3 linked regions of the Rattus norvegicus genome follow. The protein of the gene in region 1 purifies or fractionates together with the protein of each later gene. This does not show direct contact. Links are inferred from orthologs where the notes say so. Each region holds a gene or a part of one and is shown on either strand. Other genes may lie near its edges.

Region 1 (4,557 bases):
GCATGGAAACAGCACTCGACAGTCTACCCACACGAACTGGCATCCCACTATACACTCTTGGCCACGGGATGACTTCAGTTTCAACTGTCTCAAGCTCTGGATAAGAGAGAAACGCTACTGAAGTCTGGCTCCTGGTCACTTGGACACATCACCACAGCCGCAGTGCATGCACTTCTAACAGCCTTGTAATGCCACTGTCTTATGGGATGTCTCTACTCTTACTCTTTATCAGAAACACTTAAGTTAGAGAGAACACTTTCTTCCTCCAATGTACTCTAAGCAGAAACAGAAAAGTAAAAGAAATTTTAGAGCCTATTTTCTTATAAATACTAAATTACTCATTTTTTTAAATTTGTCAGTATTTACTTAGTATGTGAAGCTGAAATCTGTTCTTGAAAAAAACTTCAATTAGAAATGACAATTTACAATTAGAAATTCACAGTTTACAACCAGCTTAACTGTTCAAACTCCTCCAAATTATTAATTATCAATAGTACAAATTTATATGACTAAGAGTAATTCTAAACTCTTGAAAAACTACAGTATTGATATTTTGGTAATATCTAATATTTATAGACAATTTTCTCAATGATTTCTTTTATCATTGACATCATTTATAACCTGCTATAATTTAATAGTCGTAAACACCTATGCTAATCACTTGGCACTGCATGTAGTTTTTGTCATAAAAGTCTACTTTTATACACGTACTTAAAGGAAATGTATTACACCTGTTGGTGAAACCATGGTTAAACCAAATTGCACTATAAATGTAAGCATAGACAATATCCCCCAATTTACCGATAATCACAAAGCTCTGATACCTTCCCAAAGTAAGTGCTATAGGCAGACATGACAACACACACACACACACACACACACACACACACACACACACACACACACACTCTCTCTCTCTCTCTCTCTCTCTCTCTCTCTCTCCTCTTTCAAAGTAACAGTCAAAAGTCAAAACAAAACAGATGCGTAGGACACTAGGGCACAGCCTCAATTTCAGGATGGCTGACTCAGGTGCGCAAGGCTGGGCATAGTTTTGTGTGAAGAGAAACAAACAAGAAGAGTTATTGTTAACTTTCGAGGGACGAAACCACAGATTTTATACTCTGTTAACTGAGGTAGTGTTTAAAATGAATGTCTAAAATGTTAATCCCATTTATGAATAAGACTACATTACTTCCTTTGGAATTGTAACCACTATTTGGTCTAGTATCTCTGACATTTGGTTCTCTGGAAAGGCAGTTTTATTATCCAAGACCAAAGACCAAAGTGACAGGCATGCTCTGAGAAGCACTGCTGACATTTAAATCGAAGTTTTCTCCTCACTGATTTTCCGAGAACGAGAACGGTGTTGTACCACGAGCAGCAGCTTAGAGCCCTTGTCTGCTTTGTTGCCATGGAGGTTGCTACACAGTGCACATGAGAACAACTCGCTGAAGTGCAGTCGAAGAAGTTAGGGAGGGAGATGAAATCTTCATCCCAGTGCGAACTTTCAGTGCCAGCAAATTATAAGAAAAATCTCTGTGAGTTATGCTTCCTAGTTCACAGGGCACTTTACAGCGACCCTGCAAACAAGAGCATTATGAGAAGGGTGTACAACGTGGGGAAATATGGAGCAACGTCTATGACGTGGTAAAGCTGATGTGCATTGTAAAATGGGCTACAGAAAGGAATTAGAGGGTCCCAGTCAGTCCAGCTGGATGGTCTGTTCTATAGATGGTTTCAAAAGACAGCCTCTCACAGATAAGCATTCTAGTCATGATGCTCATGCTATGTTATGTACAGATTTGCATATATGTTTAATTCCCGTGAAGATTTCCAAGTGTCTTTATACATATACAAATTAGACAGACAGACAAGCCTTGCCCTCATCGACTTCACAAATGTGATAAAGGCAATGACTGTACTCATAACTCACCTATAACTGCAATTTATGCAAAACAGGAACACTAACAACAATTAAATTATCCCTCTTTAAAATTTAGTAATTAAGGCTTTCACCACAATTTTTCCTCTTAAAAACGAGTCTCAATGACTTTTTAATAGGACATATGGCTCTTCCTTTTTTCCATGGAATGTGTGAATTGCAGGCAAACTTGTCTTTTCCTTGAGAGATTGCAGTATCACTTAATGCTTTCCTTTGCTTTGGGTCCAGACCACTAATGCTTGTCCAATTTGTATTCAGTGGTGAGAAGAGTTGATGAGGTCGGAAGGCCACTGGCTATAATGTGTTCTGGACATGAGAAGTATTTCAAATTTACTATTTCTTTTGATCACATTGTAGTGAAAACCCTTAATTAGTAAGAACAGCCTTTAAGAACACATTGCAACAAAGCTGCAGAGGAGAACGAACAGGCATCCGTATGCAGTCTAGCATCATCAAATAACTCCCACGTTGCAAGTGTTGGGCTCCCTTTGCTCTGGAGTTATCAGCCTCTGAAGTAGTGTCACAGACATGAGGGAGTGTGGAGAGGCCAGCGTGCTCCTGATACCAGCAGTTACAGCCGTGGGTAGCAGGATGCAGCCTTACAGTCAGTGACTCCTGGTTTCCACACACTAGTTAACAAACAAGGCATCTTTTGCATTTACCCTTGATTAAAAAGCATTCAGAAACAACTGTGTGAAGGATGCTTCTTCATGTCCTGTTTTGTTCCACTGCCCTTATGCTTTTAAAATAAAAAAATAGAAAACCTATGTAGGTATTCAGTGCTTAGCTCTTGCATAAGATGATAACTGAATTAAAACCGTGGTAATGAATCACGAACCCCAAGAAGGGCCCGACACGGGAGAGAAGGTGGCCTGGCTGGGGATGCCAGCAGCTCTAGCAGTTCTGTACCAATCACTGCTGGCCACAGTCAGAAGACTCTCCTGCCTCGCTGTCAGCCAGTCAGTACTCTGTGAGGCTTTTAGGAAATCCACAAGTTTGAATACATATATAGTTTCTAGCTATAAACATCATAAATATGAGGTCAGGATTCGGCAGATTCGTCAACTATAGGTTGATTTGGTGGAATTGCCAACACAGCCTCTGCTTCTTCATGCATCTAGGAAAAAGTAATACATTGTTAATTTAAAAAAAAAAACAAAAAAAACCAAAAATGGCACATAATATAGATATAATCTTTCAACTTACTTCAAATACAGAATAATTCAGGGAGACAAACTTCAGAACGCAGTCTTACTTACCTGTAAGAACTGTACATCCTGGAACAACTCCTGTATGAACCTCCGGCAGGGAAGTCTGAATGTGCAGTGTGACAGCAGGTGAGAGACTTCAGAGTAAAGGCAGATGTCATCAAATGTTTGCGGGTACTTCTCTTTAATGCTAAGATGAAGAGAGACCACGTGGTAATAAAACTCTAACATGATTTGTTCATTTTACCCCTCAAAATGGCAGTTTCTGCTCATTTTTTTCTCTCTCCAGATACTGATTAGATGAAATGTTAGGAATGGTGGCTTAACAGTATAAGAAAGTCAATCGGTTTGTCTGTCTCTTTTTTTCTTCCAGCCGTGACCAATGCCTCCATGCCTCATTCATTCCCTCCAACCCTCCTGCCTCTGTCTGCCATGATCACATGCGCATCCACTTAACGTGAAGCCTCTCTACTTCACACTTTAGACAGTTTAAGTTTCTGCTTTTCGATGATTATCAAAAGCTGAATGCTTCTTGTAGTTATTTTCTAGTAACGTAAGAAAATCATGAATCTTATCAGACTCACATGACTACATAACATGCTCACACTGTAAGGCATTTAAGTAAAGTTCATTTCAAGTTATTATGAGAACAGCACCTCAGAGCCAGCCGCGTGGGTGGGAGGCTGGGCTGAAGGCTCGCTTCTGCAGCCCCGGACCACACAGCCAACACCAATAGCATGTATACTTCTTCAGACAATCGCTGCTTCAAGCCATGCAAATACATTTTCATTATCAGGCTTTGACTTAGAAACACAATTTAGCCAGGAAATCCCACCAGTTTATTACCTAAACTTGCTTCTCAAGCATATAGTCTTTTGGTCTTCCTCAACTTTCTTGAAAAAATCTAAAAAGCTTTATTTATTTATTTATTTATTTATTTATTTATTTATTTATTTTTGGTATGAGTTATAGCCACCAACTTCAGAAACTGGAATTTAGAAATTTTAAAAACATTGTATAGGTTAAATAGTAAGTTATTTAATTAAAACCCCCAAATTTTAGCAAAACAAAAAGAGGGGGGTGTGCAAGGATGGCCCTGCTTTTAGAGTTAGTTTCCCAGTTGTGCAGATCTGTTTAAAAGTCTGGCTGGATCCTCACTCACTCTGGCCTGCAATCTTCTCTACAGACTGAGGCCCCCAGCGCATCCCCTGTAAGACCCACTCAGGGGGGGAGCCCACAGCAGGAAGGCAGCCTGTGATGTCCACAGCGATGGAGCACAAGTGTCTCTGTCACAACTTGCAAAGCAAAGCAAGCTGACACTCTTCACACAGTTACTCACGTCAACAGCCCGGTTTCGTGACACTTGGTGGAGACTGAACTACTCAAATTGACAACCAATCTCAGCAC
Region 2 (5,918 bases), about 110 Mb from region 1:
CTTTCCACTCAAAGTCCACAAACTTTAACTCTGAGGAGCTCAGCTTCCCCAAACTCCTCTGCACCTGTATTTTATTTAATTTCTGCTGTAAGGAGGAGAGTTCAACAAAAGGATTATGTTGCAGCTATGTTGGGCTATTGTTGAATTGATCTGATTCCCTGTGAATCTTACTGGAATACAGCCTGCGAATGGATCATGTTTGTAGACACTTAAATCCAGGGTAATTAGGGCAAGTTGTTTGACGCCTGGGATTTCAGGTAGAGTACAGAGGGTCTGGTGCAACTTGCCTCTTCTTGCTTTTGTGGCCTCCTCCTCTCTCCTTTACTCACTTTTTTTTTTTTTTTTTGGCTTTTGTCATCTCTGAACAAAAAAATGAACCCTTGATTTATCAACATAGACATTTTCTTGATCTATGTTGCATGAGGTGGTACAGCAGTGGCATAAACCTAGGCTTGCTTCTTAAATGTGTGCAGAGTGTGTTTGGCCCAATCTCCCATCACTGTTGCTTCCAGAGGGACGGGGTGCAGGCAGGTCCAGCCACACAACGGTTTCCCTTCATCTTAGCTGCTGCTTTAATCTCACTGTCAGACCGCTAAGAAGGGTAGGTTCAAGACAGATTTCTGAACACTGTGGTTCTTTATCTCGAAAATTCTTTTACTAGAGGACCATAGCTTAAATTTCATGAGTTTTTTCTTAAACTTATTTCCCAGACCAGAATCTGTAAGACAAACGGCTTAATAGATTTATTAATAACATACCTCTACCCCCCCACCCCCGGCCGCTAACACACACAGTGGGAGAGGGAGGGAGGAAGGGAGAGAGGAGAGGTATTGAGACTTGAGAGTCGCCAAAATGTTTTGAAGACGGTAAGGGGCACTCTGATGAACAAAATCAGCTCTCTAAAAAGTTCCCCCAAATCTAAACGACAAACAAGAATGACTCTTAAAAGGGAGGCTGTTTTCCAACCCTAGTAATTTCGCCTCCTTTCCCACAAAAGCCTGAAGTTGCGACTCTCAACAAACAGCCTCTCATCTCTTTCCTTTCATTGCATGTGGCGGGTGGGGGTGAGGAGGGAGATGTATTACAACTCTCACGTTTCTACACTTCAATTTACAAAACGCTTGCGCTTCCACCATCACCTCGGAGTTCCGCTAAGGCTGTGCTAGAGGCAGGCTTGTATACACTTATACACACACACACACACACACACACACACACACACACACTCACTCACTCACTCACTCACTCACTCACTACACAGAATGCAGCGCCAGGTTTCACCCCACGCCACGGGAAGGGTGGGGTGGCTCGCTCCGGGGAGCAGGTGCAACCTCTGGGCTGTAGGTTAACTTTTCCACCCGTCTCTCTGTTTGAAGATCTGCTCCGGACCAAATGCCTCACCTTCGGGTGGTGCGCGCCCTAGCCCGGTCCCTGGCCTCCTCCTCACTCCCAGAGGAGCAGTTCGCACCTGCCCCGGAGGGAACGGCTACGGAGCTCTCTCTCCGCGCCCTAGGGTCAGGGGTAAGATTAGGCGGTAGCTTAGGCTCGCCTGGGCTCCTCCCCTTCCTCTCTTCAGTTCTGACGCGGCCGTAGAGGCGGCGGCGGAGGCAGCGGCGGCGGTAGCAGCAGCAGTCCCGCGGCCCGAGGCGCACCCACCCGCTCCCAGATCTCGACTTCCTTTTCCCTTTGTGCGTCATCAGAACGCGCCACAGCCTCCCAGGGCGGGGTGGCTGGAGATGGGGAGAAAAGGCCAGCAAAGGAAGGCGCAGAGTGGAAGGGGAAGGGAGGGAGAGGAGAGCGGTTGCTAGGCGACTTACGTCATCGCTGGGCGCCGCTCTCCTCCCGCCCCTCTCTGGAGTGAGGCGAGAGCCCCGCACAGAGCGAGAGAGACAGCGAGCTGAGCTTCGGGCGCTGCCGCCGCCGCCGGTGAGAGCGAGTGAGTGAGCGAGCGAGCATCCGAGAGACCCGGCACCCGTGCACTGGCCGCCGCCGAGACCTTCGCCGCAGCCCGGGCCATCGGGAGCCGTGGCCGCCGTCTGCTCCCCCCCTTACCTTCCCGGCCGGCAGCGGCTGCTGCACACGCCGAAGCGGGAGCCCCAGCCAGAGCCGGAGCCAGAGCCGGAGCCGGAGCCCGCGGCCGGGGGGCAGGGAGGCGGCTGCCGCCGGTCGGGACTCGTAGCTGCTCAGCCGGGAGAGGACGCCCGCGAGGGGCTGGGCTTTCTGCCTCGCCCCGGAGTGTGGGGCGAAGGACCCCCCGAGGTGTAGGGAGGGGGTCCCGGCCGCCGCGACACATGCGGGAGCCGGGAGCGGGGGCGGCGCCGATCCGAGCCCGCCGGGTCCCCAGCCTTGCCGCCGTCCAGACCGGCCGACCCGGGCCGTAGCATCCCATAGCGGAGTGTATGAACCGGGGCCCCCAGCCCAGGAGCCACCTCCGGGCCGGGGGGGCGGGGACCCCGATGTGAAACGGCCGCGGCGGCGTGGTGAGCGGCCCGGGCGCCGCTGTCCTCTCCTTCCCCTCCCCTCCCCTTCACCCCCTCTGGGGGGCTTCTCCTTGGGCCCGCCGCCGCACCCCGGCTCCTCGGCGGGACTCCAGGAGTTCTCGGCGCCCCCTCCCCGCCCCAGCCCCCCAGGGCGGCGGGGCCGGGGGGGACTCGGGGGGCCGGCTGCAGCCTCCGCCCAGAGGAAACTTTACCCAAACAAAATCTTCGAGCTTTCTGATTGTGACTGTCCCGGGACAAGTGGCCCAGGACGGGCTGAAGCCACAGCCTGCAGAGACCCAGGAAGAGAAAAAGCGGTGAGCGGGGCTGCTGCCGCTGCCGCCGCCGCCGCCTCAGCTTCTATCCCGGCAGCGCGGAAGAGACCCGGGTAGCTGCTCCGTGGAGCGACGCTAGCACCGCTTCTTAGTTCCGCGCCTAGCCTTCCGCAGCTGCCCGCCTCAGCCCGAAGGAGGAAGGGAGCCAGCCACATTGTCAGCGCCACCGCTCGTCTCTGAAGCGTGAGTGGACCCGAAGGAGGGGGGACATTATAAGGTGACAAGTGGGAGCGGGTGGGTGCTTTGATGGTGGAGTTGGGCTGTTTCTCGGGAGGGTTGGCAGTGGAGACCTTTCCTTTCTAATTTCGGGAGAAAGCGTCAGTTTGCAGGAGTAATGCAAGTACTCGGGCGTTTTTCTTAGAGGAGCTGTGTGGACAGCTCTGTCCTCTACCTTTTTCTGGCAACCTGATTCTGGCAGTGGTTTTTGTTTCAGGGAAACTCCCATGGATTCCCACGTGGGAATCACTTGAATCAACTCTTATTTTATTTTATTTTTTTTCCTTTCCTAACTATTGTTTTTGAAGTTGCCCTGGTCAGGAAGACCAATTTTGATTTTAGTGCAAAGAGGGGTTTGGTGCCCCCAGCGCTTTATTTCATAAGTCCACAGACTCCAATGTGTAGAGTCCTTGTTTGCATGTTTCATTTGGCTCAGGAGAATCCGAGTTCCTAGGATGCACAACTCGCTGAAACTTATTTCAGGGAGAGCACTTGCAACTTCTCTCTCTCTCTCTCTTTCTCTCTCTCTCTCTCTCTCTCTCTCTCTCTCTCTCTCTCGTCATCTATTTTAAGTGATAACACATTTCTACTAGGGACTGAAAGGACATGCATGCTGCTTTTCTTATTTGGCTCTACTTGTCAACATAGAAACTTGTACTCTTTTAAGAAAGCACTTAGCACACTGAGTGCTAAATTAGAGGTACAGAAAAGTAATGTTTCAACTATGTAAGGTTAAACTAAACATCTTAAGGCAAGTACTGTGGGATTTTGTGTAACAAGGAACATAGGCAGTGTAAGACTGAGAACGCCGGTCCACCCAGACAACTAAATTTGGGCAGAATAGAGATCCTCCGTAGAAATGAATGGAAACCTGGGAGTATCCATTTATCTATCCACCCATTCTAATCTCTCCATTTAGGATCTTGATTAAATTTCTTTGAAAGTTTCTCACACTTCACAATGTTCTCCCCTCCTCTTCTTAAAGTAAGGAACCTTCAAGTTTATTATTCTGCACTATGTAACAATTTACTTCTCTTTGTCCTGCCTTCTCAATCTTTCAGGATACAGTTTCTTTGAGGAATGCTAAAACACTGTGAGCTAATCTTACATTTCTTATAGACTTTGTTTGATTTCTCCTATCATCTGTTCCAACTTTTTTTTTTTTTTTTTTTTTTTTTTTAGTTTACAGGTTTCAGGTTGTTTATTTCAGTGGAAGTTGAATAAATATATTCAGTGGTCACAGTATTGTCATCCTATCCTCTGACACAGATATATTATCTTGATCTAAAACAAAATTAATTTTTGCACATAACCAGAGGCCCATATTCCACCATGGTCTTTAATAATCAATGAACCTAACTGTGGCCCTTTGTTCCAACTTTTTTTAAAAGACAGTTTTACTATGTTACCTTGACTGTCCTGGAATTATCTCTGTAGACCAGGCTGGCCTAGTATTCACAGAGATGTACCTGCTTCTGCCTTCTAAGTGCTGGCTGGAATTAAAAGGTGTGTGTCCTGACTGCCAGCCATGTTGAAACTTTTGTGGCCCCCCAAACCCCATTTCTTTGGCTATCTTTCCCCTCTTTCTGGGTCTTCTAGCTCTTTATGTTTTGTTAGATACTTTGTTCTTCTTATGCTTTTACAAGACACCTTACATTCTACTTAAGTGGCATGAAAATATTGAATGGTAAATTTCTTTAGATTTAGAATAAAACACATTTTTTGATTTGCTAACCTTACTTTGTTACCCTGAGAAAGTCATGTATTCCAGCTTTGAAAAAGATGATACTTGAGAAACTTAGACTTGCATAGTTTGCTTCTTGGAAAGAAGGAGAGAATAAACCAAGAAGTGGTACTTTGAGTTTGTATTGCATCTGGTCAAAGTTGCTTACCAACTGGAGGACCTGCTTTGTGGGAAAACTGGTTTTAAATTGTGGAAATACTTTACTGTAATAAGAAATAAGTAATAAGAAAACATTTGCTACTTTCAGTCTTTGAGGGTGCCTTTTCTTACCAATACCAGAGGCAATCAATATAAATTGTACAAAACTTTAGGAAAGATTGGGCTGGTGTGATAGCTCCGTGGGTAAAGCTGCTTGCTGCATAAGTCTAAGGACATGTAGTCCAGCGGTGGAAGGAGAAAACTTAACTGTACAGAGTTGTCCTCTGACCTGTGCTGTGTGCATGAACATGTAGTAGTAGTAGTAGTAGTAGTAGTAGTAGTAGTAGTAGTAGTAGTAGTGTGGCAGTAGTAGTAAAAATAAATACATTTCTTAAAAATGTCAGAAAGGGGGACATGTGTCGCCATTATTACTCTTAAGATTACTATATGTCAGGGAATGCCATTGCACATTTTTATTAGGGAAATACTGATTTTGGATGACCCAGGAATAATTGGAGTGTCTGAGCCAAATCGTGGAAAGGCTCTTTTAGGAAGAAAAGAGCGTACACAAACAAAACTAAAGACTTAGAGTCAGAGTATGTAAAAGGGGAGATCTAATTGGGAAGCTAGTTTGAAAGGAATACCTACTGAGTGGGGAGGTTCTTGACTAGGGTTAAGGCCAGTTTGTGCTGTTTAAAAGAATTTGAAAACTGTTCCAAAGAAGGTAGTTTCGATTGTGAGAAATCATATTTTAGGACAGACATTATACTGGCTTTAGGATTTTGTTTCATTAGGAGATTAACATTTTTACACTATGGTCATCTAGGGGGCAGCACAGGAGACATGAAAAAGGCAATTTGAATGCTTTTTAGCATGGTGCTAGTAGTTGCTCATGAGCAAATCAGAAACAAGGTAGCAGACTGCTTTGGATGTTGAATTTTGGGTTAAGAGCTGGGTATCCATATAGTTCCCGTGTTAGCTCATTGTTTCTTCTCTCTCTTTAAAACT
Region 3 (5,782 bases), on another chromosome or scaffold:
GGCTTTCTTTGGGTTCAGTTTGGGCCGAAGAGGAGCCCCTGGCTTCAGTTTGGCCTTGGGAAACTGAGACAGGTAAGTCATAACAGAATGCTCATCTACGTTGGGGTCCACAATTTCTTCTGGGGTAATCACCTGTTACAGACAGAAGACAAGAGCCATTGGGTCTCTCCTCACTTTGACCAAGCACCCCTTAGCTGCAGGGGACCGTTAAGGATCATACCTGAGGAATGCCCAGCCAGTCGTCAGCCTGCTGCATGGCTTCCCGTGCATTGTTCACAGGCTTACTAGCATCCCAGGAGTCCCAGTCAGGACATAGGCCTACAACACAGAAAACAAAATATTGTGAGTCTGGGACTACAGAACTACCTTCTAGGCTGACTAGATAGCCTTAGTCCAAGATCCCCCATCTATGTGCCCCCTCACCTGGGGCACAGCTATCAACAAGAGCACCCAGGGCCCGGCCACTCTGCCAGTCTCGACTGAAGTTGGTAATGGGCAGCTGTGGCAGCTTGTTCTGAATCCAGCCTAGAAGCCTCTGTTTGGGTGTTTGCTTCTTGGCCTCCTCATCCTCTTCCTCATCCCACATGGGCATCGAGATGGAGTAGTGCAGGATCAGGGTCCAGATGAGTCCTAAGATCAGTTTCAGATTCCCATCCACAATGGCCTTGCTGTCTGTGGAAAAAGAGGTGGCAGCACTGCACAGTTAGGGATTTCCCTCACCAAGGTCAGCAAGGAGGGACCTAAGTCAGCAGCACAGCAAATCAATTAGATGACAAAAGGCCCCTCCCAACTAGGGGTATTAAGTGGATCAAGCTCCCTCTGCCCAGGGCCTCTGAACCATGTAAGAAAATATTTAGTGATAAAGGAAAGTTTGAGAAGACACCCATAGATACATAATGATAATATAATGCAATAAGAGGGACTCTGCCAAAAACCCCAAAGCCCAGAAAGAGGGTGGGAGAACAAGTGAGATGAATGCTTTGCAGCTGCTGAGATCAAAACCTGCCTTAATATCTTGGGATCTATGGGAACTAAGAGAAGTGGCTCAGTCCTGACTGGCCAAAAACAGGGCCCCTGACCTCAAGTTGGGCTGGAACCAAAGAAGAGGAAGGCTAAGTTGGCAAAGAGTAGTTAGGAAATACAACTGCTGCTCCAGAGTGGGGGATAAGGCAGAGGAAGTGGGGGTGTTGGTAAGGATCCTTGTGTAAAAGGGTGTGAGCTCCACCCTTTGCTACTTCCTTGTCCCCCCCACCAAGCTAGTAAACAGGAGGTGGCAAATAAAGAGGGCTGGCTTGGGGAAGGGGGCACAAGTCAAAGGAACTATGGTTAGTTCCAACCCATTGAGGCTTATAGGGAACTCCTGGGGTGACAGCTGAGTTAGCCTGCCTTTGGTTCCAAGAACCACTTGGGAACCCCTGTTACAGGGGCCTTGCATTTTGTTAAGTCCCTTTGTTTCAGCATAACCTGCTTAGATGCTACTCACCACCCAGTCTAGTTGCTACCTAATGGGCTAGGTCTCCGGAAGTCACTAGGCTTGCCACAAGGGAAGTGGTTAGGGCGGGCACCCTAAATACCCATCACTATGGCAACTCCCCTGAGCCCCACCCAAAGCCACCTCTTTAACCTCCTCAAGGGTGGATGGCTTATGGTGAGTAGCATTTTCTAAAGCTCATCTTTGGAAACCCTACAGAACTTCCCTGTAATCAGAGAATGTTGATCTAGTGAGTCAATGGGGGAGGGTCATGAAAACTAGGAGGATACCATTGAGAGAGCAGATAACATTCCAGCCCAAAGGGAAAGTAACTGAAAAACTACTACTGAGCCTCTCAAAACAGAGTGATCTTTCCGATTCACAAACAGATCCTGGCCCTTTGTGGATGTTTTTCATTGTCCCAAAATACTGAGAGAATGGGGGGGGGGTTCCAAAGAAGACCAAGGACACAAGGATCCTGCCCTACCTAAGTCATAGGTCCAGCGGAAGAACCCCCAAGGAGACCATAGTCCTTGGTAGCTTCCAAGGGAAAGAGCAAAGGCAGACCCATCATCTTAGTAAGGTACATCTGGTCCCTCCCCTAATCTGATTAGGTGGGGGGCTATGCCAGCTTCGTACTCCCCCCAGTGGAGGAGAGGATCAGGGCCCAGGGTTGGGAAGCAGCCTGGTTAGATGGCCCCGCCCCATCCCACCCCTTATCCTCAGCCCCTGGGCCAGCCGGCCCCCTCCCTCCCCTAATCACTGCTGCTTTCCAACATTTTTTTGCCTTATATGGCAAAGCTCTGGGAACTAGGCCTGCTCCAGCCAGCTCACAAGAAGGAGGGGAGAAAGAAGGGGGGAGGAGACCCCCCTAAAGAGCTGGGGTGTGGCCTGCCTCCCCACATCCGGTTGCCCCCCTCCAAGACTCAGAAATGACTCAATGACTCAGCTGGCTAGACTGGGGCTGGGACTAGGGGTGGGTTTTCATACATCCACCGGCATGCCTCTATGGCATTCCAAAAAAAAAAAAAAAGATGAACTCAAATCTGCTCTCTAAGGGCCCAGGAGAACCTTGGTCCCTCACTGGATTAACTAGCCTGCACCATTGCAAAGTTGTGCGAATAACAGAAAACCCTTTCTATTATGGAGAAAAGTCCATTCTTCTACTCTCCCTGTTCCACATTCCCATGTTACCAATTCTGGTGCCTGTCTATGGGCAACCCCTACTTTGTAAAAGGCATGGGATTCTGCAAGAGACAATGCCAATGCCAACGTCTCCAGTTCAAAGACATGGGCACTGGGCTAGCAGTAAACCCTGTGCACACTGGAGCACATTTCAACCAATCTCTGTGTTCTAGAAGTACAAAACCAAAGTTTACATGGAAACAAGAATTTGAGTCATGATAGACAGCAAAGCTGGCAACCAAGCATATACTACAGTCAAGTGCCCAAGTGCCTCCAAGTCAACCACACTCAATACACCCGGAGTACACTGGTGCCAGCAATGCATCTCTTGCCCCCCTCCGAGTTCAGCAAAAAAAGATATAAACTGGGAATTTGAACTATCTCCAATGGGGAAGCAGGTTCCAGGGCAAGAAGTTGAGGGAGTCCTACATAAATAGAACAAAGTGCAACCTTCACTTTAGAACTGCAGAGGCAGCCGAAGGCTAGAAGGGTACTTTTTAAATTATTGTAGGTGAAAAGCATGGATATCCCCAGGAATGGGGTGCGGCTCTCAGGGGCAGAAGCCTAGTCTGTGCCTGTCCCACCTCGGGTGCAGCGTTGGGGGCGCGGCCTACAGAGGATGTGAGCTCAGCCTGGGAGCAGGCCAGCAGGGCGCAGCGGGCGGGGGCGCGTAGCGGTTCGCACGCTCCCCAGGCCAGCTTGCGCGCCTTTGTTCTCGAGGACCTCGAAGAACAAGGCGGCTGAGGGGCCTAGGGGAATCGTTGGTTGTGCTTCAGCTAGGGAGGAGAACTGAGAGGGAGCCTCTAGAGGGGAAGAGAGGAAGAATTGTGGTGACCACGCCCGCACCCGCGCGTGCCCCAGTGTGGCCCGCGCTCTCACCTATGGACACGAGCTTGATGCTCTCACGGTCCAGGAATTCAAGCGCCACAGACACATTTTCCAGCTGCATCTGGCGGAAAGTGGGTCGTTGGTTGTGCTTGCGGTGCATCTTCTTCTGGCTGAGTACCTCAAGCAGCGCGATGAGCCGCAATCCATCGCTCAGGTCCGTCTGCAGATTGGCGATGCGCTTGCTCACGCACTTAAGGTGCTCATTGCACCAGCGGGTAAATGTGTTCTGCTGGATCTTCTTCCATGGTGCATCTTCTGCTAGGTCTTTTTCGGTAGCCGGCATCTCAGCGTCCCGTGTATCAATACCGCCTGCCGGAGACGCGCCTGCCGCACTCTGGCCGGAGCGGGAGTGAGAGCTACTCATTTTGAGGCGCGAGGAACCTAGGGGCGGTGCTGCAGCCTCGCCGATGGGACGGCCCTTTAATTAAAGTAGTAGGCACCTCCGCGCAGGAAAGACGAGGCACAGAACAGAGGTTGCACTGCGGAAAGAGCGAGCCCTTTAAATGGGGGCGAAGGGCGGGGCTAGAGGCAAGGTTTCCTTGGGGCGGGGCCTCTGGGTGGGGCTTGTGGACCGCGCCCGCCCTACCTCGCCCCTCCCGTTGGAATGCTCCCACAATCCCCCCATCCCCCACCGCTGCCGCCGCGACCCCGCCAAAGCAACTCAGCTCCCCTGCTTCAGAAGGGTTTTTGATCCCCAAAGAGCACAAAAAAGTCTAGCAACATCCGTTACAGTACTACAGGAAGCGGACCCCAGATCTAGGAAAACTTGAGCAATTCTATCACAGAGTTGCTCAGCTCCAGCCGTCACAGAATTGCTCAGCTCCAGTCGGCACACCCTTACAAGGGACTTTCTTACCCCAGGGTCCCTGCAGAGGGCGGAGCTAATAACGTTCCCGTATCACTTGGGCTCCGCCCCAACCCTGTACCCTGCTCTATCTTCATTCTCTGTTCTTCCTAAACTAAGCTTAGGATTCTCAGCCACAGTCTGGTCCACAGCAATGCGAAGAGTCCAATCCTGAGAGCAAACCTTTCCACAGCGCCTGACGCTGTTGCGAGCTCTTTGTGTGCACAAGTGCTGTCATACAGGACTCTCATCACCTACATAACTACCCACAGACCCCTGGCACTCGCTACCCATCTCCGCTGGTCTTCACAGGCTCCATGGCCCTGGCCTGCACACCTGTACAGGCCCATTCCCACCGTCCTCTCTGCCGCCTAGTTCCATCCTGGAGGAAATGGGGCTAGCACTGGGACAAGAGGCCGCCAACACTGTAGGACCAAGCAGCTTTCCAAAGGTCCAGGGCATGCCAATGGGCACAATCAGAAGGTGCCTGCTGTGTGATGCATGTAGATGGGTACACCTTGTACCTGCCTAACTCACTGTTCCATCCACCTTGGGCCCTGAGGAGTTTTGAGGGGAGAAGTCTTCTCTGGCAGAACAGCCCCAAGCTCAGGGATAGGTCCAAGATTACTGAAGGAAGGAGAATCACCAGACATCAAGGCTTGCTAAAGAGCCTGGGTGTGTTCCCTGAGTAGTGTGAAGCTACTTGCTAAAAGTTAATTTTATGACAGATATTTTCTGGAGATAGTGATGAGGAGCAAAGATACAGAGACAAGAAAACTGTGGGGATACTCCCAACCACCCTCTTAAGTTAAGAGGATTCATTTTACCTATATGTCTTTCCCTTGGTAGACTCCTTCCATCTACTTTCTCTGTGTTTCAAGCCTCCCCAGAATGTTAAAACTGTTTTTCCAGAAAGGCAGGTCTTTATCCCTATTTCTCAATTCTAAGCCCAGTGGCTGGAGCTGGAGAGATGGCTCCGTGGTTAGAGCACTGGCTGCTCTTCTAGAAAACCTGGGTTCAATTCCCAGCACCCTTACAACTGTCTATAAGTTCAGGTCCAGGGGATCTGACACCCTCACACAGACATGAATGCAGGCAAAACTATGCACATAAAATTAATAAGTAAAAAAAGACCAGTGGCTGAAGAAGGCCTTGGGTTGGCTAACATGTCATGCCCAAATATGGTTGACTCTCCCATGGCCTGGAGTGTCTTCATTGCCTGTGGTGACACTATGATAGGACTTTGATCATAATGGGCATCACCTTTCAGCATGGTCATCTTGAGATTGTCTATAATATTACCAGTCAAATAACATTTTCAGTAGAGAACCACCACCCCATCCCATCACCTACATAAAGAAGAAGATATCCTCTCCTTTTCTGTTTTCATAAGT

Evidence for each region.
Region 2: the proteins of Rictor (region 1) and Fbxw7 purify together in Homo sapiens (affinity purification with western blotting; 3 studies listed by BioGRID, with this or other methods). This does not show direct contact. The link is inferred for Rattus norvegicus from reciprocal best matches to the Homo sapiens genes RICTOR and FBXW7.
Region 3: the proteins of Rictor (region 1) and Flna purify together in Homo sapiens (affinity purification with mass spectrometry; 3 studies listed by BioGRID and IntAct, with this or other methods). This does not show direct contact. The link is inferred for Rattus norvegicus from reciprocal best matches to the Homo sapiens genes RICTOR and FLNA.

The regions. Positions count from the first base shown.
Region 1 is NC_086020.1:57,625,506-57,630,062, reverse strand, and holds part of Rictor (rapamycin-insensitive companion of mTOR), read right to left. Parts: coding exon 4,490-4,557; intron 3,341-4,489; coding exon 3,202-3,340; intron 3,060-3,201; coding exon 2,985-3,059; 3' UTR 1-2,984. UniProt on the Homo sapiens protein: Component of the mechanistic target of rapamycin complex 2 (mTORC2), which transduces signals from growth factors to pathways involved in proliferation, cytoskeletal organization, lipogenesis and anabolic output.
Region 2 is NC_086020.1:172,445,897-172,451,814, forward strand, and holds the start of Fbxw7 (F-box/WD repeat-containing protein 7), read left to right. Parts: upstream 1-1,841; 5' UTR 1,842-2,995; exon of another isoform or gene 2,996-3,029; intron 3,030-5,918. UniProt on the Homo sapiens protein: Substrate recognition component of a SCF (SKP1-CUL1-F-box protein) E3 ubiquitin-protein ligase complex which mediates the ubiquitination and subsequent proteasomal degradation of target proteins.
Region 3 is NC_086039.1:157,178,267-157,184,048, forward strand, and holds the start of Flna (filamin-A), read right to left. Parts: upstream 4,078-5,782; 5' UTR 3,909-4,077; coding exon 3,536-3,908; intron 673-3,535; coding exon 424-672; intron 319-423; coding exon 221-318; intron 133-220; coding exon 1-132. UniProt on the Homo sapiens protein: Promotes orthogonal branching of actin filaments and links actin filaments to membrane glycoproteins. Anchors various transmembrane proteins to the actin cytoskeleton and serves as a scaffold for a wide range of cytoplasmic signaling proteins.